Mus musculus: one gene and its partners. The protein of the gene in region 3 binds, or shares a complex with, the protein of the main gene of each other region. Each region holds a gene or a part of one and is shown on either strand. Other genes may lie near its edges. The genes, in order: Suds3, Sap25 and Sin3a. A codon is read from its position in the direction of its gene.

Evidence for each region.
Region 1: the proteins of Sin3a (region 3) and Suds3 are in contact, whole or in part, in an NMR structure (PDB 2N2H), measured with the Mus musculus proteins. Residues at the interface, in NP_001103821.1 of Mus musculus: Glu616, Glu619, Leu620, Val623, Arg672, Ile673, Tyr674, Ala675, Lys677, Asp680, Ile681, Ile691, Ala692, Ile695, Val696, Arg699, Met702, Lys703, Glu706, Trp707, Glu709, Ala710, Phe714; in NP_848737.3 of Mus musculus: Ala205, Leu207, Asn208, Tyr209, Leu210, Leu211, Gln215, Ile216, Glu218, Asp219, Leu220, Thr222, Leu223, Leu226.
Region 2: the proteins of Sin3a (region 3) and Sap25 are in contact, whole or in part, in an NMR structure (PDB 2RMS), measured with the Mus musculus proteins. Residues at the interface, in NP_001103821.1 of Mus musculus: Leu121, Lys122, Val123, Ala126, Leu127, Leu130, Tyr144, Phe147, Leu148, Met151, Lys152, Phe154, Lys155, Thr161, Val164, Phe182, Phe185, Leu186, Pro187; in NP_001075431.2 of Mus musculus: Ala208 (codon at 3,145), Glu209 (codon at 3,142), Ile211 (codon at 3,136), Ala212 (codon at 3,133), Leu213 (codon at 3,130), Ala214 (codon at 3,127), Gly215 (codon at 3,124), Leu216 (codon at 3,121), Leu217 (codon at 3,118), Gln218 (codon at 3,115), Met219 (codon at 3,112), Ser220 (codon at 3,109), Glu223 (codon at 3,100).

The regions. Positions count from the first base shown.
Region 1 is NC_000071.6:117,099,228-117,108,973, forward strand, and holds part of Suds3 (sin3 histone deacetylase corepressor complex component SDS3), read right to left. Parts: intron 9,193-9,746; coding exon 9,121-9,192; intron 7,439-9,120; coding exon 7,419-7,438; intron 6,085-7,418; coding exon 5,928-6,084; intron 1,469-5,927; coding exon 1,373-1,468; intron 312-1,372; coding exon 250-311; intron 96-249; coding exon 74-95; intron 1-73.
Region 2 is NC_000071.6:137,636,091-137,645,766, reverse strand, and holds Sap25 (histone deacetylase complex subunit SAP25), read right to left. Parts: upstream 4,295-9,676; 5' UTR 4,132-4,294; coding exon 3,951-4,131; intron 3,858-3,950; coding exon 3,754-3,857; intron 3,672-3,753; coding exon 3,533-3,671; intron 3,427-3,532; coding exon 3,329-3,426; intron 3,245-3,328; coding exon 2,981-3,244; 3' UTR 2,865-2,980; downstream 1-2,864. Other genes in the region: Irs3 (insulin receptor substrate 3), read left to right, coding at 247-676, 1,023-2,080; Lrch4 (leucine-rich repeat and calponin homology domain-containing protein 4), read right to left, coding at 5,622-5,819, 6,112-6,189, 6,280-6,417, 6,569-6,645, 7,029-7,112, 7,225-7,328, 7,406-7,474, 7,585-7,701 and 6 more. UniProt on the Homo sapiens protein: Involved in the transcriptional repression mediated by the mSIN3A but not the N-CoR corepressor complex.
Region 3 is NC_000075.6:57,107,638-57,117,383, forward strand, and holds part of Sin3a (paired amphipathic helix protein Sin3a), read left to right. Parts: intron 1-1,070; coding exon 1,071-1,254; intron 1,255-2,941; coding exon 2,942-3,515; intron 3,516-5,908; coding exon 5,909-6,078; intron 6,079-9,744; coding exon 9,745-9,746. UniProt on the Homo sapiens protein: Acts as a transcriptional repressor. Corepressor for REST. Interacts with MXI1 to repress MYC responsive genes and antagonize MYC oncogenic activities. Also interacts with MXD1-MAX heterodimers to repress transcription by tethering SIN3A to DNA.

The DNA of each region.
Region 1 (9,746 bases), on a different chromosome or scaffold from region 3:
TCACTCCTGGAAACCCCACCTCCACTTTTCCAATGACAGGGTACAAAGACTGGCAGTGTCATCGGGCACTCACCTGGTCTCTTGGGTGACTTAAGCTGTAGGAAGAATAACAACAAGAAAGTCTCAGAGAAAATCATCTTAGAAGCAACATAAAGCATCAGAGATGTCATGGTGACTTTAGCAGGTGACAGGAACTTACGTCACAAAACACGTGAGCCTTTCAAGTACAGCAAAAGCGTCCCACCCTACCTTGTTCAGCGTCCTCAGGTCCTCCATGATCTGCTCGTCTGTTAGCAAGTAGTTCAGCTGAGGTGCCGAGAGTTAAAGAACTCGTGGGAAATGCATGGCTTCCAAGGAGACAGAGGCACCCAGGGACCCCAGTGCTTTGGGACTGGGGAGGCCTGGGCTACAGAAAGGCTGTTTTCAAGGTAAGACCTTGCCTCTTTAAAAAACTGACTCTCATGCTAAAAGTCACCAGGCACAGACGAGAACTCCACGCACCCCTCGTACACACTGCTCTGAGGGGAAGAGATGCTGCTACTCAACAGATGTCGCAGGGGTGGGAACACAGCACAGCAAGGTGACAATCTCATCTAAGGGAGAAAAACACTGCTACTCCCAAGTTTGAAGCTTTCCAGACAGACACGGAAAGGCTACTCTCACAGTGGCTTAGATCACGCTGTGAAGGGGAGAGGCCTGGAGCAGCACCCTCTGCTGGTTGCACAGTACAGCCCACGCTGGGCAAACTGCTACACTAAATCTCCCAAAGAGAGTGCTCCACGTTGGCCCACTGGCCACGTCCGTGGCTATATAGCATCTTCCATGAACACCGGACCTACTTGTGGTACAGTTCACGACCCACTAGTGTAAAGGCAGGTGACCGGTAGACTACGCATGGCAGTACACAACCTACCAGTGTAGAGAGAAGCATACAACTGGTACACTACAGCAGTCCACAACCCAGAAGCAGATAACTGGTGGGCCAGGGCAGTCTGCAGCCCAGTACTGTAGTCAGATAACCGGTGGGCTAGGGCAGTCTGCAGCCCAAGAGGCAGAGGTGGGTACCTGGGACCACAGCAGGCAGTGCTGCCCTCAATTTACACATTTCACTGTAAGCTGCTTAAAGGGAGTGTAAGAACAAGGCTGTTTCCAAAAGAGCACCTTTCTAAGTAACCATTTTCTGGAAACCTCTCCAACGAAAAGCAATAGTTGACTCCAGTGCTGTCTGGAGTCAACCCCACCTGTAGGTAAGTATCTCACATATGCTTTCCCGACCTGGACTGCCGCTGGCTCGTGAGACTGTGACCCTGCATACACTACTACACACACTAAGCATAGGAGTTCATGACTCAAGCTTGGTACAAATGGATATCAGGAGCCGGTTTTCTCCTCTTGTCTGGAATGGGGACAGGATCGTTTGGTCGCCTCCGCAATTTTCTGGTCATGATGGGTTTCACTTCCATAGAATCTGTGGCAAGAATGGAAGGGGTGAGTCTATCCACCTGTCCCTGGAGCCAGCAGGGGTCCCTGCAGCATCAGAACATCCATCCCACAGACATCCCACTGCAGCTATGTGACCAAGCACACTTAGTCTATGCATGAGCCCAGCCACACTCCCGTGGCAGGCTGCAAGCCCTGTGCTTACCGGAGTCAGCCAGCTGAGCACCCAGTCACAGGCTAGGAGACTGAAAAGAGCCTGGGATCAGGCAGGTACCTCATGTCTGCTGCTCCCACAGAGGCTGCGTGCTGAAGACCATGGACATAGAAAGCCCTTTTTCAAGGCCACTGACCCCAGCCAAGGTTTGTATATGAAGTCTTTGCTTACACACTCCCAGTTTTCTTCTATATAACCCTTTGTAGCTACCAGAGGGCAAGACCGATACAGCAGATGGGGAACAGGGCCGCCTTTCACTCTGGACTTCTCTGGGGCTTTAGAGGACGGACTCCACACAGGGAAATGTCTCCTCCCCAGAAGCAGCCACTCAGATCTGCTCTCCCCAGGGGGATGGGCTGGCGTGGCACCTGAGTCTGAACCTGCTAAAACTAGCAAGAGCTTCAAACAACAGCTTCCTAGGAGTCTGGTCAGTGAGCCCGAGAGTTCAACTAGGGCAAGCACAAAATCAAACTCCCAGGTCTGAAGCCCAGACCCTGGAGTGTGACAACTGGAGAAGACATCTGGGCAGGACACGCCTCAGTCATGTAACCTCCAAACAGTTAACTGCCTTGCATTAGAAGCCTCCCTGGCTTCTGTGAGACAGGCACTACCTGGAGTTGCACGGGGCCTGCTGCCTCACTCACTTCCTGCCCCTCCCCAGGGGCAGTTCCAGCTTCCCTTTAGCGAATGTTAACCATAAAGCAAGCTCGCCCATCTCCCTCCTAAGCAGAATCTAAGGGAGTGAGCTAACCCCAAAGCAGAGGCAGGAACCCTGGCTGAGCAGAGGCTGGGAGACAGAGGTCACTATGAGGTTCCATCCTGATGAGGGGAGAGCCCACCGTCCTCTTGCACAGCGCTGACTATAGTTAACTAGGTAGGTAACATTGAGCATTTCAGGACAGTCTCTGGATCCTGAGATTGTCAGTGTTTCCACTAGGAAACGGCGGCTAAAGTGGGGAGACGTATCAGTTGGTGAGGGATGCGACCTAGCGGTAGAGCACTTGCCTGGCATCATGAGGCCCTGGGTTCTACCCCCAGTTCTTGAGATGAAGAACTTACTATTTGTTTAGCGACTTGGGTAAAATAACAACAATGATTTGAAGCACACACTTCATTTGAGGCTTGCAGCAGACAGAGTGCGCGAGACAGGGCCCCACAGGACACACAGCCTCATCCATCTCCAGCAGACTAGCAGGCTCACCCATGCTGTCACACGTCACAGCAGCAGGGGTGAGCACATGGAGAGGGGGCAGGGAATGAAGTCTGCATCAGGTGTTTGGAGGGCAAAGCATGCTTGGAACAAAGGGACCAAGCTCCAAGACACCCAGGTCGCCCCGGGCAAAGGGCTGACATTGAGATGGAGCCCACCCGCCCCAGGTCAGGTCACCACATCACCCCCTACCTCACCCCCCACAGATCTTTCTATGCATCTTTCCCTGACTCCTAAAGCCCCTTCCACTGGAGCATCAGGCACTGCCCGATACAGCCACACTACAACGAGCCTGTCTCATCTTTACCTCTCCTTCCTTAAACCTGGAAGGTCTGGGAACTCCCCAATACTGTCTCCAGCCAGCAACCCGACCTCCCCAACTCAGTGGAGTGGAAGGAGCCAGTCTAATGCAATTAGAACAGACTGGCTTCGGTACTAGCTAGGTTTTTTGGGACTATAGGGACTTGGGGCAAGAGGCTGACTTCTGAGTCCATTCTGCCAATTTCAAACCTGGAAAATGACACCCAAATCCAGCAAAACTGTGCAAGTGAATGGCCTGCTAGGTGCCAGGCATCTGTTCTGTGCCAGCCGACCCTCCAGACTCCCCACTCCCCCTCACCGGGCAAGACAAGGCCCCTCAGGAAGAGGCCTGTGAGCCTGCTGAGGCGCCTGACACAGGAGATACCCATGAGATTTTTACCTCAACTATGGCTGCTCACAGGGCCAGCTACACAGCCAATACTTCCTAAAGCAACTCTGTGGGTTGTACTGAGGTCATGAGTAGCATCCAACAAGGGCTGGAGGGTTAGTGGACACCCTAGTGAGCAAATGTCAGGAAACAACACGAGCCAAGCGGCAACCAACTGGCCTTCCAGTCAGAGGAAAGGCAGACTGAAAGTGACCAGGCCTGGGCTACAGAGAGGGCTCAGACAGAGGACCCTGGTTCAGTTCCCAGCTCCTCCTCAGTCAGCTCAGGACCACCCATGATGCTGGCTCTAAAGCATCTGTGGCTCTGGGACTGCAAACACGTGGCATAAGCATGTGCATGCACAAGGGCACACACACACGTGCGCGCACACATGTATGTACGCACGCACGTACACACACAAAGATAAATCCGAAGAATAAAAATGGTAACACCTCTGATGCCTTAAAGGGCCTGGGACCTGTCTGGTTATCAATCTGGGTCACTTATAACCCTGGCCTCAACATCAAAGGCTCAACAGAGAGTGGCCCAACAGCCCACGGGCAGGCCCTGGGGGTGTTCCCTGGCACAGCGCCCCCCCAACACCCAAGTCTGCAGGAGGCAGCTAGCCCAGCAGCTCCACTTGCAGCTCAGCACACAGCGACTGCATGGAAAGCTAGCCCTAGTGTGCCCAGTGCCCGGGAGGCTGAGGAGACCGAGGACCTCCTGCTACTCCCCGGGGTCCCAGGTCATAAGTGCTGGACAGAGCAGATGGCCCAGAACACCTGCTTCCTTCTTACGGCCTCCCTTGCTGGCCTCTCCTTAACTTTCTAAGAGAAATCTCGAGGTTGAAAAGGCCATTTTAAGACATGGCTTCTGTGGACGGAGCTGGAAGCGGTCGCCTTGTTTCCGTCCATCCAACAGCACCATCTGTGGAAGGCCATTATCCTTCCAGCTTCAGTGCCTCCCACCCGCCTGCCCTTCGCTGCCAGTGCGCTCCACGCCAAGGTGCCAAATGGCTTGAGGAAGGACGTCAGTACCTTTCTACCCGTGGATGGCTTTAAATGCTTCGCTATCTGCTTTACTGCATTACAGATGAGTTCCCTGTCTTTATTTGTCTTTTCTGCCTCCTGCCTCAGTTCAGAAGCTGGCTATAAAACCACCTGGCCAAGGCCTGATGCTTGTCAGTAACTAGGACACCAAAGCACACATAAGGTGAGCGTGTCCTTCTCTGCAGATGGGGGGGGGGGGGGGGCAGGAGCAGCTATAACCGGTGGGATTTCCAACTAGCCTAATGGCAGCTCTTGAATAGCTGGAGGCTCCCGAAGAGTGATGAGGCCTCAATGCCAGTCACAACCACCATCAAGAAAACTGTATGTGGCTCAGAACGGGTGGGGGGACTGGTACCTGACTGCAGAACCAGCGCTGACAGGTAAACAGGTGTCCTGAAGGCGCTACCCCAACACCCACCTCATGTTCAGAGCTGCACTCATGCCTTCTGACAAGCCCTCAGCTGGTTTTCAAAAATCTCACTCCCCTACTCCACCCCCGCCAGACCCGGCCTCACTGATTCAAAGTCAGCTCCAAGGTTTCTGTGAAAACCCAGATGTCCTATAGAGCCCTGCTAGAATCAGCTGTCCCAGAGCAACGGGACCTTCTGGACAGATGATGAAGACTACGATTCGGGGTGTGTGGAAGAACACGCCACCCGTGAAGCCATGTGGCAAACCCAGTGCTGACTTGTAATGAAGACCCTGCCAAGTTCGGAAACGGCTGGTTCTGCCAGTACTATCCTGTGATTCACCAGCCTGCAGACGGCATCAGGAGAGTCGGGCCTGCTGCTCCCCACAGACCTGTCTGTAACCTGCTGAACTCCCTGGACAGCAGATCTCAGCTGCTAGGGAGGAACCAGACACTCAAAATACTATCGATCAATGGATCGATTGGGATCAAGGGAATCGCTCTGGCTCTGAGCCTCACAGCACCGCCTGGGGGAAGAGAGCCCCCAACTACCTCCCTCATGACATCAGAGGACAACATCCTTTTCTGACTGTAATGACAGAAGCAATCTTCAGGTGGTCCTGGTAAGAAACTCAAATGTAAGACACAAACAGCAGCTGACCAGGAGCCAGTGAGGCACAGTCTGAGTGTGCAATTGATTGCTTCCTGCACACAGCCTGCACGTGTCCTGCCTGTCACATGACACCCCAGGCACTAAGTCAGGAGATAAAGCAGGATCTAGCCCCTCCACAGGAGGAAGCTAAGCGGCCGGCCTCAAGCCCCCAGTTGCTGCGGGGTGGGTCGGGAAGCCAGCTCTCCAGCACGCCCGCGGGCATGAGAGGAGTGCCGTGACAGCTCGCAGGGACCGGCTTCTGTACCTCCAGTCAGCTCCATGGTGAGTTTCTCGTTCTCGATCATCTTCTTCTTCTCCTCCAGCTCGGCAATCAGGTTCTCCTTCAGCTCCACCTTCTTGTCTTCAAACTCCTTCACGGCCGCCTTCTTCTCTTTAATGTAATTCCTCTCCACCTGTTCCGTCTGAGAAGAGACGCAGCTGAGGCGGGCGGCCATGAGCACCAGCCCGGGGCCAGCTCTGACCTCAGGAGCAGAGAAAGCCTGAGACTTCATTTCACCCACACTGACCCATGGGACCAGGGGTCTTAGGGACAATCCCAACAGGTCCCCAAACCCAGCCATATAACAGCATTTGCTTCCAAGGCACTGTACTGTTCCCCTGCCCGCCCCTCTCCCCCACGAGTCTTCGGAGGCTTTAACATCAAACAGAACTCGAGTCTCAGAGAGTGGGGGGGAGAGAGAGGAGAGAGAGAGAACGCTAGGGGTTGTTCCTTTGGGAAGGACACAATTTCAAGTGAAAACAACCCATGCCAGGTGAAGTTTCTGCATTCAAAATTAATTACGGGATACTAAAGCCAGACAGCTGGCTATTATGTTTGCTCTGTAAGAACAAAAGCAACTACAGACCATTCATTAGGCGCCTGAGCGCTCGAGTACTCAAGTATCAAAATTAAGCTATTAATAAAATAAAGAACTGCCTAGAAGCCCCCTTGTGACATCTCTCCGCCACCCTGGGTGCTGGCTGCGGGCTGTGTGACTGAGGCATACGCTCTGCCAGGCCACGGCTGCATGTGCCAAACTAATTTTAGTAAAATCGCCTGCCAGTTAACTTGAATCTGACAAACCAAAAAGCACCTCTTATGTCCCACTGGGACCAAGGGCAGCCTATCATTCAAGAGCCAGGCCCTTGTCTCAGCACCATAGCACCGAACTGTCATTGACATGAAAGGAAATGTTGACTCCATCTTGACCCACAACCCATGAAGCCCAAACACAAGGCAGATCTGTGGAGCCAACTCAGAGACTGGGCTATGGGAACCAGTAGCAAAGCAGCAGGCTTAGTCTGGAGACAAACGGTCATAACGTGAGGTAAAGGTCAATGAACAGACGGTGGGCTAGAGAGGTGGGTTAGCAGGGAGCTCCCTGCTCCTCCACAGGACCCACGTCTGATCCCAGTGTCCACATATGGGATGGCTCTCAACTGCCAGTAATTCTAGCTTCAGGGGACCCAGAACCGTCTTCGGGCCTCCAGAGGTACACACATACATAAATTCCATTTTAAATTAAAGAACAAGAAAGATAGCGAGGGGCAGCATCTTAACCCAGCGTGGTCGGGAGGGACTGCAGAACACTCCTGGGTGGATGGAAGGTCTAAGCAGTCATTAAGCATCCCTAACCAAACGAGCTGTGGTGGCGTTCCCAAACCGTCCACTTGCTAACAACAGAAGGCAAGGCCAGGGAACCAAGAGTCAGACTCTCCTGGGAGCCTACGAACGCAGAGGATGCTGGGTACTTACTTCCAGCTGGAGGAAGAGCTCTGAAAGAGAGAAAAGAACAGTTAAGACTCGCCAGTTGCCATCTTCCTAGATAGGGGTATTGGGATTCACTGAGGGGCTCGGGCAGGTCTACCTCACCATCCTGACAAGATGCTCTCACTCAGGCCCACCCAGTAGGACAGACAGCACAGTGAGTCACAAAGCAGCCACCTTAGAGGCAGAGTCCACATGGAGACTTTCTAAGTGGGGCAGATACATGACAAGGCAGGACCTCTCTAGAAACCCCAGAGGATGAGGGGCTGGGCTCAGCTGGGATTTAACTCTCGTCATTCTCTCAAACTCCAGATCCAAGGCGGCCCCCTTCCTGAGGCCTCCCCTGACAGAACCAAAGCCATCAAGGTCTACTCTTAAGCTTCCTCAGTGCCTACTGTGTGCCAGCAACGACTGTTTACCTACGTGACGGCTAGTCTTGGTGGTCAACTTGCCTACATCTGGAATTAACTAAAACCCAAGTGACTGGGTACACTGTGAGGGATTTTTCTTTGAAGTCGTTTGAAGTGGGAAGACCCACCTTTGATCCGGATCTTCTGAGTTGGGAAGATCCACCTTTAACCTGGACCATAACTTTTGGTGGCAGCCTCTATAAAGGACATGGAAGAAGGAAGCTTGTTCTCTTTGCCTGCTTGCCCTCGCTCTCACTGGCTAGTCCATTCCTTCACTGGCACTAGAGCCTGTTTCTTCCAGAGTCCAGTGCATGTATAAGACCAGCTGAGACAGCCGGCCTGAAACTCTCAGATTTTCCGGTGAGACACAGCCACTAATGGACAAACTGGAGCACAGCCCTGAGGCCACTCTCACAACCTTATGTGTATACACAGGCTCACTCTATCTGTTCTCTTCCTAGAGACAGGATGCTGTCAGCTCTGGTAAAGACAGCAATTGTGGCAAAATGTACCTGGGATTTCCTGTCTCTCTAGGTGAGCGTGGGCCTACTATTGCTCCACAAGTACCATGAGCAGACCAGAAACTTCTGGTTTGTGGGCTCTTCTGCAAACCTCAAATTCTAACCACCCATTTGCTCTGCAAACACATCCACCCATAACCCCACAGAGCCTTCAGACTTGCAGAATTCAGACTAAGAGCCCAGACTTTATGTCTGATGAAAAGCATCCGCAGCAGGCAAGCCCCTGTCCCAGAAGCTAAAGTCACTCTAGCCCGGGGAACTGTGGGCCAGGAAGCCTGCTGCATGGTTCCTTAACTCCCGGCACCCCTTAACTTTATGTAGATCAGTACCTTTGGCCAATGAAATGTTGAGTTTCCGAAAGCCACAGACAATATGCTAGTGACATCACATTGCTCAAAGCACCAATGTGCACAAATGCTTGGGCACCCTGAACAAACGCTGGCTGCGTACAGCAGACAACAGACCAGCAGCATTCCAGCCACTATGTGCCTGAAATGCATAGAGGCCAACACAGCCACGCCCCTCATCTCTGGCACAGACAAGCTACTCAAGGTGTGATGACTTCAGCCTCCTCCACCAAGGGGACAAGAGTGAGGAGCCGCCCAGACACCCTGACTCCTGGAGGACAAAGCACAGCTTTCTGTGATGGCAACCTTGGCTCACCCCTCCCCTGCCCTTTCTCCCAGTGGAAGGTTCGAGTGTGTTTTGGGCTTGCATTCTATCAGCATGGAGGGGTTGGGCCTGAGCTGGCGCACTGACCTGCATTCCGGATCCGCTCTCGGTACTGCTGGTCCAGTTTCTTCATCCGTTTCTGATATTCCTGGAGCGTACCTGACGGGGCAGGCATGGGCATAGTGACTCGGGGAGTCAGCCTGCTTTGCACACTGAGTCACACTCTAGCACTGGAGCCGCCTAGAGAGCTGTACCAGGGAGGAGCCACACAGTAGACAGCACCAGACCGTGTGGAGCTTCCCCCTCCCGCCGGACCTCCCCCAGGGCCTGAGAGCAAGTAGTCAGGCAAGGGGACCAGGTGACACTGAGCACCAGGCCCTATGGTCTAAGACAATGTCCTCACTCTCGTGGGGAAGGCTCTTCCTCTTGCAGTGAGATCTAGGTCAAAACTATCCAGGAGAGCTTTGTGTGGTGGTAGAAAACTCTGCCTCTGCAATTGCAATACAGTGGCCAAGTGGGGGCTACACTGGCACTGAAAATTAATCAATAGCGGCGAGGAACCAGATCACTTATTCAATGTGACTCAGTCGTATGGCTCATGGCCATCAGACGGTGCAGGTACAGATCCCAACACCCCTACTTGCTCATCCGCCCCAAGGCAGCTGTCGTGAGCCCGCATCTGTAGGACGGCCCTGTTAGCCCATTGGCTGGCG
Region 2 (9,676 bases), on a different chromosome or scaffold from region 3:
GGCTGACCCAGCTAGGTCAGCCTCCCTTAGACCTAGGAGTCCTGGTGTCACTGGCCACTGGGACACACGCACTCCTGTGTACAGGCTCCTTGTTCACTCCAAGTCAGGAGAGGGCGTGGAGAGATGCAGGGCAGCTAGGCCGGCTGCAGTTTCCCAGGGCTACTTGTTCCAAGCGGGTGGTAGCTCAGGGGGCCAGACCCATTCAAATCAGTCCTTCTGGGGACAGTTTACTGTCTTTGGCTGGAAATGAAGCCTGCAGGTACGGGCCCCACAGTCTCCTCCGGGGGCGAGTGCACCGACGTGTCCCTCGGCTCACCGTTTCCTTGGCCCTGCCTGCCCGACGTGCGGCTCTGTGGCCATCTGAGGAAGCAGAAGTCCCAGCGCCGCCGCTTTTTCGTGCTGCGCGCTGACCCACCACGCCTGGAGTGCTACGAGAGCGAGAAGAAGTTCTTGGCCAGCGGCTGCCGCCCACCTAGACCCCGGCGTACCGTTAGCCTGGAGGGTGCCTGCACTATTAGCAAGCGCGCGGATGCCCGTCAGCGCCACCTGATCGTCATCTATACCAGCGACAGCAGCCTGGGCGTGGCGGCGGCCAGCGAAGCAGAGCAGCAAGCATGGTACAGCGCCCTGCTCGAGGTGCGCGCCACCGCCGCAGCCGCTGCTGCTACTGCTATGGGTGAGCCTTGGGTGAGCGACGGGGAGGTCAGGGGGTTGCCGACTTAGTTTATCTTGAACCCATTTCCCTCAGATCAACTGAGGTTTAAATCTTTTTTATTTTCGAGACAGGGTTTCTCTGTGTAGCCCTGGCTGTCCTGGAACTCACTCTGTAGACCAGGCTGGCCTCGAACTCAGAAATTCGCCTCCCAAGTGCTGGAATTAAAGGTGTGCGCCACCACGCCCGGCCTGAGGTTCAAATCTTAAGCTAAAAAAAAAAAAAAAAAAAAGACGTATAAAACGTCTTGGTCACCTGGGACCCGGTGACCCCAACCCCTGCCTCCCGGTGACTTGCCAATTCTCTCCAGGTTTCAGTCCCCAAGAGGCCCCTGAGTCTTGGATCTTCGCCCCATTCCAGGACGTCTGGCCTGTGACACTGCGGTCCAAGGGGCTGGGGAGAGCACAAGGCCTGAGCAGCGGCAGCTATCGCCTGTGCCTGGGTTCTGGGGCCCTGAGCCTCCTGCGAAAGCCTGGAAGCAAAGGTTCCAGAGACAGCCGGGCAACGCCACCACCAGTCCTGCGCTTGTCCTTGCTCAGTGTGCGCCGCTGTGGCCACGCAGACTCTTTTTTCTTCCTGGAACTCGGGCGCTCAGCGCCCATTGGTCCTGGTGAGCTCTGGCTGCAGGCTCCTGATGCAGTGGTGGCCCAAAGCATTCATGAGACAGTCCTGGCTGCCATGAAGCGGCTGGGGAGCAATGCAGCTGGCAAAGCTGAGCCACCGCCACAGGGAAATCCTCCAAAGAGTGTTCCTGCAGCTCCTACCCCGACACCATATGAAATCCCTGCATCGGCAGCACAAGCAAGAAGCCCCAGTGAGCGAGCAAAGCAGGACTACTTCAAGCCCCTGGAAAGGATGGGGTCAACACACTCCTACAAGGGACTAGATCTGGGCGGGAACTACATCACCATGGGAGTCAGGAATGACTATGTCCACATGGGGGGAGGAGAAGCAGGTGACTATATGTGGATGGCGCCCCCAGGCCTTCCTCCCACCCCTGCCAGGGCAGATCCTAATAAGCAGCTCGAGGATTGTGAGAGCACAGAGTATGTGCCCATGAATAGATTTTTACCTGGGCCTTTTTACTACGAGCTCAAGGCCAGGGAGTCTGAACTTGGGCATCCGGGTGCCCATTGTAGCCTTAGAGACAGATGGAGACCCACAGTGGCTCAGCCCCGCTCTTCCCAAGGGTCAGAGCTCTCTGGGGACTACATGTCCATCCCCGACTATGTAGGAACGGACAGTGCTAGGCTGGGGTCTCTGGACAGCTGCCTCAACTATGTGGACCTGGACCTGGTCCCTCCCCTGGAGGTTCCTGGAGCAGCCCCAGGGAAGAGTCCACATAGCTATGCCAGCATCAAGTTCTAGAACTTTTGGGAGGTAGTCAGGTGAGGAGACCCAGGCATTGGTCAGGGAAGAGAGGAAAAGAAGAGACCTTAGTACTGTTCAGCTCAGCTCCTGCACACAGGACCCAGGAACCCTGAGGCCACCATGAGCTGCTCTGCTGCCCCCTTGCCTGCTCTGTTCCTTCCAGCTGTACCACCTAGGAAGCCCTCAGGAAGCCATGCTCGAGGAACCAGACTCTTCAGAGAAAACACTAGAACTTCTCTCTGCCCTGCCAGCCCTCCCCCCACTCGCAATCCAAGCAACAAACAAATAAAACCCTTCTCAGATGAATGCCCACAGAATCAGTCTCAGGCTAGCTGTGGCCCAAGCCTGGATGAAGACTCTCATCCTGGTTTGGGACAGCTCTGTCCCCTCACATGTTGGCAGCTAGATGTCATTGTGTCTCCTCAGCCAAAACATTATCCTAACCCTGTTTTTTTTCAAGCCAGAGCGGAATTCCTAAGGCTCAGAAACAATGGGAGGAGCATCAGGGATCATGACGGTGCTCCTCAAGCAGCCAGTGCTCCCCAAGCAGCCAGTCCTCACCTGACCTTTCTCTGGGCCCAGCAGACACAAACGAGTTCCTCACTTCCCAGAGTGCAGCCCAACCCACCCATTAAAGGTGCCCTTCTCCCTGACTGTCTTGCTCAATGGATCTCCCCACCCCATGCAGTGTGTGACCAATGAGTAAGGAGGCCTGGAGGAAGAGAAAATGGTATAATGGGACCCAGCCTGATCCGCAGCCCATGTCCCACTGCAGACAGCCTGGTTTGCAAACTCTGATTTATTGTCAACAAAACAGCTTGGGGGAGAAGAAAGCACCCGTGGAGGAGTGGGGGGCAGGGTACACTATGGACTGTGGTTATTGGGGTACTATGTGGTTCATGTGTCAGTCCCAGAACAGCTCTGGTCACCACTGGGACCTGGGTCTTCAGAGACAGAGACAGGGTCTGGGCAGCTGGTGGAAGGCAGAGAGCTTGCCACGCAGTTGGGTGTCTGCTCTCCCTGGCTCATCTGCAGCAGACCAGCAAGGGCGATCATCTCTGCCTCGCTGAGCCAGGTGGAGGAGCAGGCCTGGGATGAGGACGGATGCACAGAGGGCGACATGATGGGCGGTGGGAGCAGCAGCTTCCTGGAGTCCATTGCCTGAGAAGACAAAAAAAGGGAAGCTTGTCCTCCCGGCTTTGAATGGAGAAAGGGAGAAGAGAATGGAGGGAGGCTCACTCTTACCTGCTGAGGGGGCTTGGTCAGGATTAGGGGAACACGCTGCCCACATGGTAGCAGAGGATCCAAGAGAAAGACATCTTCATAGTTTCTCACCGGGACCCCTGAAGGAGAGAGCCTGCTAGCTTGGTGGCCTTGGCCTTCCTCCCCAGCCCTCAGTGCAGCTTCCCTGGCAACTTCACAACTGAGCTGTGGGGCCAAGATCAGTACCTGTATCCTTAGACACCACCTGCTCTTCCTCTGGGCGTTCTGAGGTGGTTGGGCTCCTGCCCCAGTTATCATACATCGGCCAGGAAGGATGGCACAGTGTCCTGTTAGACAAAGATACCCCTGGCCCACAGCTGGGCTCCTGTGGAGAACAGGAAGTCAGAGTTCCACCTCTCTTGGCACCCCTGCTACCTGGAGACACAGTCACAAACCCCCCAGCTCACCACCAGCCGAGGTCCTGCATTAGCCTGGTGGCTGGGATCCCGAAGTGGCAGTGGAGACATCCTTGAGGGGGTGACCTGGGAGGTCACCCGGGGAGAAAGACGTACTGTGAACGAGAGAGACGAGATTAGAACAGGCTCGGACTCTCTGGGGCCTTGTGGGTAAAAACAGCACGACCTGGTGCCGACCTGGTGCCTACCTGGGGCTTCTGCAGTCGGCTCAGTAGCCAGGTGCCTGGAAGGCGGCAGCTGCTTTCTTCCTGGCTCAGATGGGCTGAGGGCCTGGGGCTGTGAGCTGTGTGAAGGGAAGGGCAGGCTTCCCCACTCACCTCCCTTCCTAATGCTGACCTGAGTTAGTCGCAGGACCAACAATATACCCATTTCCCAGTCCCGATCTCGTAGATTTTCAGTTTTGGAAAGCGCCCACAACGCCTCCTAGTGGCCCCCACCAAGCCCTCACCTGTCCTGCACAGGCGTTTCTTGCTCCTTCATGGTTTCCTCTCCAGAGCTCAAGGCCTCTCCGTGACCAGTGCCGGTGGGGAGGCCTAGCCCCTCGGTCGCCTCCTCCTGGCCTGTGGCCCATGGCCCAAGCCAAGGCAACATCCTGCGACTGGTGAAGCACCAGGCAATACCCACCGCCGTGCTTGCACTTGCGCGCGGCCCTGACTACATGAGCGCCCAAGTCCTAGCCCACCTCAGAGGTGTCGCCACGACGCCTGCGCCAGCGTTTCTTCAGCCACGTGGCACGCTCCCACCAGGTTCTCAAGGGCTCCCCCTGGCGGCAGAGGCACGGGGCACTTGTGCCGGTAAAGCTCCTCTGCCAGGCACAGAAATATAGCAGTCTACACTGGGACTCACAGTAGAGGACTCAGGTCCCCAAAAAGCTCGCGCATTCATGGACAGGCAGGCACACACCTGAGGACCAACCTACAGGCCTTTGGGCTTCTTTTTATTGTGTTTGACACAACGCTCTTCACCCAGATGGGGGCTGTACCCGAAGCAGCCTAAGGGCAGGGGGATATCCAAGGCCAGTGCTACACACAAGACCATGGTCACCAAGTCCTTGTTAATTGGCTGGGCCCAGGTGTCATCTGCTCCCAGGACAGGTCCGATGGTAGTTGGGGCCCAGAGCCCCCAACCTCTACCCCTAAGGCTGTTCCAGAAGTGCGTGAAGGACAGCAGCGATGTGAGGGAGGCCCCTTCCAGGGGCCCCTTCCTCTTCCAGGATGTGGTGGGGCTGGCACAGGGACTCCTGGGGGGAGGGGCCCAGGTTAGGTTTCCCCCTCGAATTCCCCCAGCAAGGTTAAGAGGGTGGGAACTCCTGGTAGACACTGCCCCATACCTGGGGACAAATGACACATAGAAGCTGCCAGCAGGTAACAGACGGGTGGTTAACACAGGGGACTGGGACAGGAGAGGCCTGTCATTTCCAAAGGGAAAGGCTTGCACAGGCAGGTAGCCCAGGCAGGACAAGACCTGGCTGCAGCAGGAGCTCACACACGCACACACAGAGGTGACAATCTATACAGTTTATACACAGAGCCAGGGGCCCATACTGGGCTCACATCCCCTGCTAATAGTTCTCTCTACAAAACAGAGATAATTTAGCTCCCCCATAGCAGCTGGTAGGGGGAGGGAGGACAGAAGAGAAAAGCCACAGTCCTGTCATCCGACGGGGGACAGAGGGCTGGCCGGGAGAACACGAAGGCACCATCAGCACTAAGGGTAAGGGTATTGTGGGTATGAGAGTGGGGCTTCTGAGGTCAGCGTTGGTGAGGGGACACTAGTGTCTTTGGTAGGGCTGAAGGCACCACCGGTTGAACAGGAGGTCTTATAAATAGAAGGTGGGGAAGGAAGGGGCAACGTGGGTCCTAGGAGCCCAGGAGCCGAGTGTAGACGACATAGAGCAGCAGCATGAAGACCACGTAGAAGAGGAGGAAGCCACCCAGACCAGAGGAGGGCTGGACTGGGAGAGGGGCCTTGCCCCCAACCAGGATCACAGCCTCCAGGACGGTCTGCAGCCCCTGGGCGGTGCCCCGGAGGAGATCCGAGGGCGAGCACAGGTCAGCCTGGGGAGGGAGGACAGGGCAGATGGACAAGGACAAATCACAGAAGTTAGCAACATCAAGCCACGGGCCTTCCCACCCTGCCCTCACAAACCAGGACAACAGCCAGAGCCATTACCGACATGCAGGACATGCAGGACAGGGAGGGAGAGCAGGGCAGGAGATCTAAGGGGTGGGACCAGGACACATGCTTCCTGTAGGAGCGAACACCCCAGTGGATGGAACTCCGCCCCTCATGCAGTTTCAGCTGAGCCCTAGACACCAACATGCTCCAGAGCAGAGTGCAGCCCCATACCTCAGGCACACCCATTTTCCGACAGGCTTCTAGGAAACTCTCGACATTCTTCCGAGACTTGAGAGCACTGAGCTTTGGCTGGAGACAGAGGAGAAAGGGAAGAAATTTGGAAAGGCAAAGCCACAGTCACGTCCCTTCCCCTCTTCTTCCTTTTGGGCTCCCACTGACCACAGCAGGTGAGGGCACATGAATGAAGGGTACAGAGCGGGGCCGCAGCTGGTTCGCCAGCTGGCAAAGGAGGACTCCGTTGGCGAGAGCTTCTGCCAGGTCCTCAGGTAGGGGCTGCTGCAGCCGCGACTCTAGGACCTGGAAGCAGAGACAGAAGCAGCAGCTGGGGTCAGCAAGGTCACTCCCTCCATCCCTTCCCCTCCTCGATAACAGGAGTTGTGGGCTGAGGAAGGAGAGGGGAAGGAGACGCCAGGCTGGGCCAGGCCTCCGTGAATATCACTTTGCTCACCTGGCGAAGTTGGGATATTAGCTCCTTCTCCTGAGGAAACGGCCGAGGTCTCAAAACAGACTCTGGAGAGGAAGGACCTAGGAGGAAAAGGAGTATAGCTCTGCTTCATAGATAAATTTTGGAGCCTGTTTCCAACAGTCTGATACCAATACAGATTCAAGCCTACGGGATTTTCCATGAACAGGGACAACACCCTAAGAGACACAAGCCTCAAGAGATAAGAGTCCTGCCAGGCAGTGGTAGCGCACGCCTTTAAACCCAGAACTTGGGAGCCAGAGGCAGGCAGATTTCTGAGTTTGAGGCCAGCCTGGTCTACAGAGTGAGTTCCAGGACAGCCAGGGATATACACAGAAACCCTGTCTGGAAAAAACTAAAAAAAAGAGAGAGAGAGAGAGAGAGAGAGAGAGAGAGAGAGAGAGATACGAGTCCCAAGGTTAGTGCCAGGAAGAGAAAGACTTACTAGAGCCACTCTGAGAAGAGGACCGGAAGAGGAAGCTGTTTGGTCTCTGAATGGAGCCCAGGGGCCTGGGAACAGGAGCTGTCACTGGGGGGAGAGCCAGGGATAGGCAACAGAGACACCCCTCAGTAGCCCATTCTTCCTTCAGGCCTCTATGTCCCAACCATCTCCAAGCCATCACCTAAAGGCGATGTCCTACCTGGTCCAGATACAGGAAGGGGGTCCTGGGAGGTGGGGGGTGGTGTGGGAGCTCCCTGCCCCCCTGAAACTCCCAGTTGGGTAGTGCTGGACTTTGGTGGGCCACTGAGGAAAAAAGAAGGGTCTCAGAGAAGGCCAGCTACGAGGAAGGCCTAGGGAGGTGGGTCTCGGAGGACACCTACTTGCAGGTGGCCTGTGTGGATGGGGCCGAAGCACCTGCCCCGGCAGCTCGGATCCCCCGCTTCAGGACGCTGGAGAAGCAGAAGAGGAAAAAGCTGGGCAGTCAGGCCTGGAATTCTGTAGAACCGAAGTCTGAGAGGCATTTGCATCTGTCCCTGCCAGGCCCTGAGCCCTTCCTTACCTGTCCTTCCTGGGGGACCCCCATCCCCCACTCTGTTGCTGTTGCTTCCGCTCCCGTTCCTGCCACAACTGCAAAGTGTCTGGGCGCCGCCTCTCCTCCCCTGCAGGCTCCTCTCGCCTGGCAGAAGACAGGACAAGAGGGACCTTTGTCAGGTGAAGGGGAGGTGCCCAGGCTGTTGAGTAGGAGGGAGAAGAGTGGGCTTGGGGGTCGGAATACCTGCTGCTAGATGGCTTCTCCACATCCCCTGCTACAAGGCTTAATTCAGAAGGCAGCTGCTCCTGAAGAGAGGACAGCAGAGCTGAAGAGAGGCCTGGCCCCATTTACACTGATCTCCCCATCAGTGCCTCTCTACCTGCCCAGGGTCAGGCCTGGCTCCTAACCTCAGCTGCACTTCGATCTTCATCTTCCCCAGGAACGTGGCTGTCAATAAAGTCAATCTGCTCCAGGTCTCCATCGCCTGCAAGACCAGGGCCTGTCAGCCAGCAAGCAGGAGGGGGTTTCCAGCCCATACTCACCCATGATTTCCTGGGCAAACTCCCTTGCTCACCAGCGCCATCTTCCCTAGGTTGTCTAGGCCCCCGGGGATCACGAGCCAGCTCCGAGATCCGGAAAGACAGCTCTGAAAAATCATCTGTGGACTTTAAGGCAGAGAGGCAGAGATGGGACATGGGCTCCCTGCAGGGCTGGGGACCATATGGGTTCAGGCTGCACAGTAGAGACTGGGATCAAGTGGAGGGCCTGCCTCTTGGGGATAGTAGGGGAAGGAGCCCGAGGCATGACCTCTTACCGAGATACTAACCTGTTAGGTATAGAGTCCCCAGTCCCAGTCCCAATGACATCCCCAAATGCCCTTGCAAAGGAGGTCCTTACCTCATTTCCTGACCACCTCTTGCTGCCACTGTCAACGCTGTGGAAGCCTGAGTCCAGGCCACCATCATAACGACGTCCCGGAAATAAATCTTCGGCAGGGCTGGAGCAGCCAGGAAGACCCGGTCAGCCCCAGGCTGGCGGCACCCCTACCCTCCCACTGGAATCCAGGGGAGTTCTTTGGTCCCAAGAAGGGGATTCCTTCCTCTGGGCCTTACCAAGGACTAAAACTTGGGGGGCGGGAAGGGACCAGGTCCCCGAGGGCGGCTCCCCTCCGGCCAGCTTCCATTGTTAGGTACTTGAAGATGTGAAGTTTCCCCTTCAGGCATATCTGTGAGGGGCACATGCAAGAGAAGAGGTGGCTCCCCAAGCCCTGTTGGATCCTCCCATGCTACCTCACAGCACCACTGTCCTCAGGGTCCACCCAGGCTGCACCTTACCTGGGCAGGTGGACTCTGTAGGGGGTTGCTATCCAGCAGAACGACCTGCAGGTGCCTGAGGCGGCAGAAGGAGACGGGGATTCGGGAGATGCGGTTACAGGAGAAATCCAGGCGGACCAGAGGAAGGTCTCCCAGCTCTACAGTCGGGGCACAGGGAGAGTTAGGAGATGCCCAGGCGAAGGCCTTGAATTCTCTTCCTTTAACTTGGCTCTGGGCAGTCAGTCACCCCTAGCTCCATCATAGCACCTCCAACCCTGGCTGGCTCAGCTCACTTCCCAGAAACAAAAGGCTGCTCCTCTCCTCCTTCACAGCTGAGTTCAGCCCTATGCATCCTCCTCTCCTGCCACCCCCACCCGGGAATTCATCCTACATTCTCCAAAGAGCAGCGCAAGACACAAACCAACTGATGCTACTGCTCAAAAGCCTCCCAAAACCACACAGTCAGAACTGCTAAAGTGGCCCATGCCTGTAATCCCAACACTCAGGGGTGAGGGCAGGAGAAGTGGGGTTCAGGGCCATTCTTGCCTACACACTGGAGGGCAGCCTGAACTAACTCTCAAAAAGCAAAACCAAAAAAAGGGCAAAATTCCAGCCAGGTAGGGTGGCGCACACCTTTAATGCCAGCACTTGGGAGGCAGAGGCAAGCGGATGTCTGTGAGCTCCAGGCCAGTCTGGTTTACATAGTGAGACCCTGTCTCAACTAAACAAAACAAAACTCCTTGGCTTCACGTATTTTGTAACAGAAAAGTAATGAAGACACTTAACAGACTGGGAGGGCAGAGGCC
Region 3 (9,746 bases):
CCCATTAAATAGGGCTCTAGTTTTCTACCTGAGTATCTAATTGGAATTTCAGTTCTTTCCTCAGTAGCTCAACACTAGGGATAGAGTAGAATGGCAGAACATACGTTAGGGGTTTTGTGGAACAAATGGAACAGATGTTGACAGGTGAGGGTGAAAGACTTGAGGTGCAGCTCGGTGGTCGAGTGCTTGCCTATCATGCATGAGTCCTGAGTTCACACAGAGAAAGCCTGATGAGTGTATGGTAGAGTGTAGTGCGTTCACATTTCAGGGTTGGGCTTTGTTTCTGTTGGTAGAAGGGAACTTAGGACTGTTTGTATACTATGCTTGATAGGGAAATACTTTACCCTACCCCAGACCGCAGGCGTTTGAGGGACTGTGATGTGTGTATGTGTCGGGGTGTGTATGGTGTGTGTATGTGATGGCTCAGAATGAGTTCAAACCTGCAATCTTCCTCCCTCACCACATGCCCTCTCTAGGAAACTTGCGTTTCCATGAGCACAGTAAAGATTCTGAGTCATAACAAAGAAGCAAGTTGCTTTAGTTAGTTGGGAGAACTAGTTTTTTGAGAATACTCCCCAAAACCAGATGTGGTTCATGCCTATAGTCCTCACATTAGGGAGGCAGACTCAGGAAGATTGCTGTAAGTTTGATAGTAGCTTGGTCTACATCATGAATTTTAAGTCATCCAAATTTTCAAATAAGGTCTTGTCTCAAAAATGGTTTCATGCTCCCTCTTAAAAACCCCATTGGTGATACCACTCACTTTGTGAATATTCATGGCAGCCAAATTTGACTTCTTTGCCTATAATGTCAGGATTGGGGAAGTAGAAGGCAGATTGCCATAGATTTTTAGATTAGTGTGGTCTATATACATTTTCCAGTAAGACTTGTATCACAAAAATAAGCTCCCTTAAGAAAAAAACCTCACTTGGATAACACCAAGGACATTTTTTGAAGCACCAACAGCATAGGTCTGAGTTTTCATCAAGTGTAGTAAGCCCGCGACACACTCCCGCATTTAACCCTCTCGATTCCCACATGCTGTACTTGTATCCCTTCTCACCTGCTAGGTTGAAGATGAAAGAAGAAGAGTGGCGAGAAGCTCAGAGAGGCTTCAACAAGGTCTGGCGAGAGCAAAATGAGAAGTACTACTTGAAGTCTCTGGATCACCAAGGCATCAACTTCAAGCAGAACGACACTAAGGTCTTGAGGTCTAAGAGCTTACTCAATGAGATCGAGAGCATCTATGACGAGGTGAGCTGGCTGACCGTACAGCTCCCTCAGCTCTGCTTTTTTGTGTTCAGCCTTGCTTTGACTTCTACAGTTAACTAAGAACTGCCAGTTCTTGTATCATGGTCTACCGTCTTAAACCTACTACTCACCGATTCACTCAGTTCTTCCTCTGGTTTCCCAGTTTACCATTCTGCCTTTAATGTACACTCTTCTTTTTTTTTTTTTTTTTTTTTTTCCATTTTTTATTAGGTATTTAGCTCATTTACATTTCCAATGCTATACCAAAAGTCCCCCATATCCACCCACCCCCACTCCCCTGCCCACCCACTCCCCCTTTTTGGCCCTGGTGTTCCCCTGTACTGGGGCATATAAAGTTTGCAAGTCCAATGGGCCTCTCTTTCCAGTGATGGCTGACTAGGCCATCTTTTGATATATATGCAGCTAGAGTCAAGAGCTCCGGGGTACTGGTTAGTTCATAATGTTGATCCACCTATAGGGTTGCAGATCCCTTTAGCTCCTTGGCTACTTTCTCTAGCTCCTCCATTGGGAGCCCAATGTACACTCTTCTAACAAGACCTGGCATCTCCTCTACCTCACTTAAAAAGTGGTAGTAACCCTGTTATTCTGCTCACTTAGCAGGGGTATGGATGGCACTTGGAGCAAAGACTCAGAGATAAATGTGAAATTGGTCTTGCTTTTTGTGACCTGCCTTAGGAGGTAGGAAGCATAAGTGACATCTATCAGGCTTTCAAAAGCTGGCCCTGAGTTTTAAAGAATAAAAATAGTAAGTGAACTTTAACAAACACTTAATTGTTTATCTTTGATAATTTGTTAACCTTTACATGAGAAATTCTTTTTTTTTTTTTAATACTTTTTATTAGGTATTTTCCTCATTTACATTTCCAATGCTATCCCAAAAGTCCCCCATACCCTCCCTCCCACTCCCACTTTTTGGCCCTGGCGTTCCCCTGTACTGGGGCATATAAAGTTTGCAAGTCCAATGGGCCTCTCTTTCCAGTGATGGCCGACTAGGCCATCTTTTGATACATATGCAGCTATAGTCAAGAGCTCCGGGGTACTGGTTAGTTCATAATGTTGTTCCGCCTATAGGGTTGCAGATCCCTTTAGCTCCTTGGGTACTTTCTCTAGCTTACATGAGAAATTCTACCCCAGTATTTTAAGTGCTAAATCTGGAATTTTAAAGGTAATTCTCTTAAGTCTTCAATATATAGAAGGCACTAATCTTTTTATATCAAGCCAATTTGTCCATAGTACTTATGAATATTTGGAAGAGAGACAAACATTATTAAGGTTAACTCTTGTATTTCAGATTAAGTAGCCACTGTCATGTCTCTGTCTAAGCCCAAACTGGCCTAGAATCTTGTACCCTTCCTGGCTTATTCTCCCAAAGGATGTAACTACAGATAGGTGCCACAGTGCCTAAAGTGCATTTTGGTTAATAATAAAAATGTGCTGCTAATGTACTCTTTGTTTGTTTTGAGACAGGGTATTTCTATGTATCCCTTCCTGTCATGGAACTTGCTCTGTAGACCAGGTTGGCCTTGAACTCATGGATCTGCTGGCCTCTGCCTCCTGGGTACTAAGTTTAAAGGCATTTCCCACCACTGCTCAGCATTTCTGGTATAGTATTGTAGGTTTGTTGTTGCTGTATACATGTCACACAATGCTTTTATGTCTGTTCCATCAGAGGCAAGAGCAGGCTACAGAAGAGAACGCTGGTGTACCTGTTGGCCCGCACCTCTCTCTTGCCTATGAAGACAAACAGATACTAGAAGATGCTGCTGCTCTGATTATCCACCATGTGAAGAGGCAAACAGGCATTCAGAAAGAGGACAAATACAAAATCAAGCAAATCATGCACCATTTCATTCCTGACCTGCTGTTTGCTCAGAGAGGCGATCTCTCAGATGTGGAAGAAGAGGAGGAGGAAGAAATGGATGTGGATGAAGCAACAGGAGCACCTAAGAAGCACAATGGTGTTGGGGGCAGCCCCCCTAAGTCCAAGTTGCTATTTAGTAACACAGCAGCTCAAAAGTTAAGAGGGATGGATGAAGTATATAACCTTTTCTATGTCAATAACAATTGGTATATCTTTATGCGACTGCATCAAATTCTCTGCTTGAGGCTGCTACGGATTTGTTCCCAAGCTGAACGGCAAATTGAAGAAGAAAACCGAGAGAGAGAATGGGAACGGGAGGTGCTAGGCATAAAGCGAGACAAGAGTGATAGTCCTGCCATACAACTACGTCTCAAGGAACCTAGTGAGTGCTTAGACTGTCAGCTTTATGCATGGGGTAGATGGCTGGCTTCAAGGCCACCTTACCTTGAAGTACACTTAGTCCTTAGATTGGAACTAGGGTTCGTATCCTACCTCTGCAACTTAGCTGGTTGTGTAACCTTCCTTGAACCCATGAATGAAACCCCCCCCCCAAAAAAAAAAAAATGGAGGCAGTATTTGTCACTTTCTGTGGTTGCTTGAGGGCTTAAGAAAGATGCAAGCATGGAACCTTGTACAGTATCCGGTTCATGGTCATGTGAGGTGTTTAGTTTGCACTGTGGACACATGAGGGACGTGGGATCCATTGGCTAGGTTAGTGAGCAGTGGTTCAGATGAGAAAGAAACGTCACAGTTCTTTCTATTCATAACATAGAAATTCCTTGTTATGCTTATGGCACATAAGGAATCTTTTCAGATGTGTGTTAGCATCTCCTTAATGGGCTTCTTGGTTCATTCCTGATATTTCTGAAGAGGAATTGGCACTCAAGATGGTTTGAGACAAGGCAAAGGGATAGACAGGATTCAAGGGAAAGGAAGCCCAGAGGCTCATTTAAGAAGCTAGCTATCATTGGCTGTATGCTGGGTTCTGCCGCCTCCTTCCACATAATGCTTTCATTCTGAAGTTGGGTGCTTAACCTGTGAGCCAGACACATCCTCACAGGCTTCCCTTCTTTGCTCTTCACGAAATAGTAAATAACTGCTGTAGGAGTCCTGTGTATAAACCTAGTTTCTTATCTGTTGAACTAATAGCACCAGGAATCTGTTTGAAAAGCCTTTATCTGTTTTAGTCCTAGCTTGGAAGAAACAAGTAGAATTTACAAATATAAATCTGGGCTTGATCACTGTCTTATCCTGGACTTATGCTGAAGCAGCTTATTCTTGAGTGATAGTGCCAACTTCATGCCAGTCATAGTTTGTGGCTATAAATCTGTGGTTTGGACTCTTATCCTAGTATATTTTAAAGGCTAGCTCCCTGCTTCCTGGGCTTAGACAAAGTGATGTAGTGTGACACAACTCAAACCAGTAACTTGTTTTAAGCAGTGATTGTTCGTTTTTGCCTGTAAGATCCACCCCATTTGTCCCCTTTCTAATTTCTCCTTACTAATGGATGGCCAGTAATCAGTAAGTGTACTTTTTGTAGTTAACATTTTTGATCAAATTTTTATTGATGTGCAACCTGTATGCAAAAAGGAACACAAATGAGAATCTGCATTTGTGTGGGGTGCATGTGCCTTATGTGCAAGGAGGCTAGAAAAGGCTATGGCCACTGTGTTATGTACCTTCCTTCTCGAGACAGCGTCTCACTGAGCCCCCTAGAGATCCTCCTCTCTGCTGACCTTCACAGTGCTAAGGTGACAGGTGGTGACAGCCAGGCTTTCACATGAGTGCTGGGGCAGGGGCTCTTATCCACTGAACCGTATCTCCTGCCCCACAAATAGAATTTTATGGCTCTAAATTTTTCTATAATGAGCATACTTTAGTCAAAAAAAGAGGTCAAGAAAATAAAGCCAAGCCCCAGTAACTTCTTTGTTCTACTATTTTGGTTTTCAGACTTAGAAATGAGTTTTTTTTGTATTTGAGAGTGGGTCTACTGCTATAAAATGCTCACTGTCCCAGAACTTGTTTTGTGGCCTAGGCTGGCCCAGCAATCCCCTTGCCCCTGGGATTATGTACATACATACATACGTACATACATATGTACATACATACATACATGAGCTCCTGGTGCCCTTCTTAGTTACTATGTCCTTTTACTAGTAAGATTCACTCCAGCTACTGGTTAAATGTTTCATGTGCAACAAATACAATTCATCTAATGTAATTACTGGAGTTCAGTGTTGCAAATCTATTTTAAGCAAAGGGACTGTGATACAATCAGAGTTATTCATTTTCATAGAGGGGTTAATTTGAATAACTTCTGTAGCCAAGAGTTCCAAGTGTGGTAGCATCTACCTATGCCTGTCTTCTCTTGTCCATACTTTATTCTTCATTGAGGTACACTCATGAGCAACTGTCCCCTTTGTGAAATGGTTTTGTGTAAGTGAAGGAGCCAGCAACTTGAAGGACTCTCTTGGGATATTTTGCTCTCAGGTGACAGAACTCAGCAGTGCTCAAAGTGTCTTTTTAGCAGTCAGTCTGTGCTGGAAGCGACTGTTAGAAGTTGCAGAGTCACTGTTGGTTCTTCGATGGACAGTTCTGGTGATTATAGCTGCCTACTAGATGTCATCTCTGTAGTGGGTTAAGTTGGACATGTTTTTGCATATCTGGTATTTTGTCCTTTCAGATGGTATATAGGCCAGCTGTGGGATTCTGTATTCTCTGTCCTCGAGCTTGTCTTAGCAGAGTACAGTCTTACCTGTCTAATCTTTCCTGTAGTGGATGTTGATGTAGAAGATTATTACCCAGCTTTCCTGGACATGGTGCGGAGCCTGCTTGATGGCAACATAGACTCATCACAGTATGAAGATTCACTGAGAGAGATGTTCACCATTCATGCCTACATTGCCTTTACTATGGACAAATTAATCCAGAGCATCGTCAGACAGGTGAGAGGGTGTGTTGGAGGTTAGCGCTACCAAGGGAAGGTGTTCTCAGCTAAAAGTCACAAAGGAAAAGCAAGATTTCTATGGGAAAAGGAAAAGCAGCTTAACCATATATATAGCAGTGTTTATAAACATATGTCTTTGAAGTGGAAAGGACCAAGTTAACATGAAGTCTTGTGTGGCTTCTCCTTCAGAGACAATAACAAACATCCCTTTGATACACTGACAGCAAACCAAAGAAATGATTCTAGTTAAGTCTTAGTGAGCCATTATGTGTGTTGGGGTCACTTAAGGAACATGAGCAACCCAAAGGCAGTGCAGTGAAAAGCCCACTGTACACAAAACCTGAGTCTTTGAAGCTCCTGCACAGCCAGAGGGCAGCTTGACCTATGGGAGAGAGTACTTTCCCCAGAAATTGTTTCTCCTTTTAGAAGAGGATCAGAAATTCAAGTTCATCCTTGGTGGGGATGGGTGTGGAGATGGTTTCTAATTTAAATTTCAGGGGATTTCTGAATTTTCTATTTCCTTTATTTCCTGAACCTTGTACATTTTGTTTACTTTATGAGTCTGGTGTTACTGCTCAGAGAGGATAGCTCAATAAGTCTCTCTCCAGCTCACAGAACTGGACTCTTCCAGCCCTGGAATTGGTTCTTAGGTTCTCAATGTGCCCCTCCTCAGAGCCTGTCCTAACAGCCATTTGTCTAGAACACAGTCCTACCTCTTTATTTATCCAAGAAGAAAGCATAGGTGTAGCTTAGCCTTTTCCATAGATGACAGTGATTCTGTTTATTTGCCTCATTTAGTATTAAAAGTCCTGTACAGTGCTCTGCCCACCTCATTATCTGAGACTCAGTGTTAGATTTGTGGTTGCTTTTATGTTTTGTTCCTGGAAATTTTAAATATGTGGAGTTGTTTGTAACAGGATCTCACTATGTTGTACTGTCTGACTGAGAACTAATCCTGTGTACTTCCTGAGTACTGAGATTATAGGTGTGAACTACAACGCCCAGCCAATGTGATACTTTCTAACTGTCATCCTTCTGACAGGGAGCATCCTTGTCTCGGGGTTTCTGTGGCGGCATTGTTGGCCTCCCTACTGAGGAGTAGGAAAAGCCAGTAAAATAAATGTTTCATAAACCCTATGTTATTTTTAAATAGATAATTCATTTATTTAGAAGAATCTGGTTATAAATTTATGTTAACGCTGTCAACATATTTTTAAGAACTGGAAATGGGAGTTGCCTCCAGAACCCACAACCATGAGTTTTTAAGACATGTTTAAGCTTTTCATTTGAACTCTTCAGTGAGTTTTGTCTGATTATGTTTTCTTTTTATTTGGTGGTCCCTTTGGTTGAACAAATATCAAGGTCAGGCCATATATTCGTCTTAATTTTCTCAGGCTGGGGCTTTATTTAGCTCAATTGGTAGAGTTAATTGCCAAGCATGACAAAGCCCTGGGTTGGATTTTCTGTACCCCATAAAATGGGTGTGGCACTACTCACCTCAGCGTTTGGAGGAAGAAGCCAGAGGAACAAAATGTGAAGGCCATCCGCGGCTACATAGGGAGTTCAAGGGCAGTTCCCCATACATAAGATCTCTCCAAACCAAGAATTCTAAGTAGGCAGGCTCAGTCATCTTAGCTACAGAACCATGATACAATGTCATCCTGTGAAGCCTTGACTAGGAACGCTTCCCTTCGTCCCAGGCTTCTCCACTCTAGTGCTTCTCTGCACGTGGACACTCAGCATATCAGCATACACTTCCGGCCTCTCCATCCCTCGAGACTTGAGCACCTCTGGGCTTGGTATTACCTAGCTTTCCCATGCGGTGCTTCTCTTTAACAGCAACAACAAAAATCTTGGAAAAATCATCCCTACATCATTTCTGGTTACCTGATGAAATACTTAATGTATGGCTGTACATACCCCATCGTTGTCTCTGGATTTGTAATGCTTCCATTTCTAAAGATTCTGAGAGAGGCAGATACCTAAAAGAGGATGTGAATAGAGGGTCAGTGGTACATAGTCACACGGAGAGAACTCATGTCTTGGCTAGACTGACTTTTCTCACTCTTCTCCCCCACTTAAAACTCTGTGACGCTTTCACTGTCTTTATCAAGTCATAACATTCCTTACTTCAATGGTATTGTCCAAGTCTTTTATACTTCACAAAGACTGTATCTTCCTAAAAAATAGAATGGCGTAGTAACCATGATAACATGAGATTAACTAAGTAAAATTGATGAGTCAGTATTGAAATTTACATTTTTGCTTCTCTGCTTTTTAGGGACCAGTTGGTTTGGTGTTAGGCACTGAATGTAAGACTTTGTGCTTGCTAGGCAAGCCTCATTTCCTGACTTTAAAGGTTTTCTTGTTTTGCTGTATGTGTATGTGGAAATCGGAGAATAACTTACGAGAGTGGGCTCTCCTGCCACTGCGTGAATTTCAGGGCTAAACTGAAGTTGACAGTTTTACCCTCTGCGCCATTTCTTAGGGGACTTTTAATTTCACAATAAGAATAGTAGAGTGGGAATGGATGTTACCCACTGTGGCATTTGTTGTGGCCTGAGCTGGTCCCAGCAGCCTTTGTAGAGTTAATATAAGGCACTGAGTCTCTGCTAAGCCTTGTCTCCTCCCCTCAACAACAAAACAGGTTCACAGTTTCCAACACGTTTACCTTCTATGAAAAATGAGCAGTTAGGCCAAGGATATAACTTTACATAGTCCTGGGTTTCATATAACTCAGTCTTGGAAAAAAAATAGAGTTAACATGTACAATTTGAGGGTTATTCTGTGTGAATGCACTAATTAGTGGCCTGCTAGTGAGGACGCTACCTTGGTGCAGGAGCTTGACCTTGAGGCTTGGTCTGCTCTTTAGTTGAATTCATGGGGGCAGGTGACGCTGCACCAGTTGCTTTTTTGTTTTTGAGACAGGGTCTATACATAGGCCTGGGTGTCCTGGAACTCACTATGTAGACCAGACCAGTATTGAGCTCAGTGATTGCCTGCCTATGCTGGGATTAAAGTGTGGGCCATCATACCTGGTGTCTGCTGCAACTTTTAAGTTTAGGAATCCTAGATTGAGCCTAGCAAGTAGCTCAGCAGCTAAAAGCACTTGTAGTTCTTGTCAGCACCCACGTGGACGTCCATGTCCTCCTGTAACTCCAGTTCCAGGGAAACCAGTGTTTTCTTCCAGCCTCTGTCTATGGGCACCAGGCATAATATAGCTGACACACCACAAGCTTACACACAAAGCACATAAAGAAAAATAACAAATATTTATTTAAAAATAAAATCAGATGAATCTTGTTTTCAGAATTCTTTGAGATACCTGTCTTAACTCCAAGTCTCAAAAGTTTTAATGTCTTAACACAAAAAAATTTCTCACAATGGGACATCCCTCCATTCCAACATGGTTCACAGGGTAATTGTAGATTGGATAAGAAATACATGTGAAACAAGATTGTAAACAGTTTAAAAGTACATGGAGAGGGGACACACACCATGGAGCCTGGTAAGGTGGTGCATACCTGTAGTCCCAGTATTTGGGAGGTGATAGTACTTAGCTTCTTAAATTAAAAAAAAAAAAAAAAAACAAAACATGTTTGTAAGCTGCCTGCGGACAGGAGAATCGGCCCTGGCTCACTGGCCGGCCTGTGCTTTGTTCCAGCT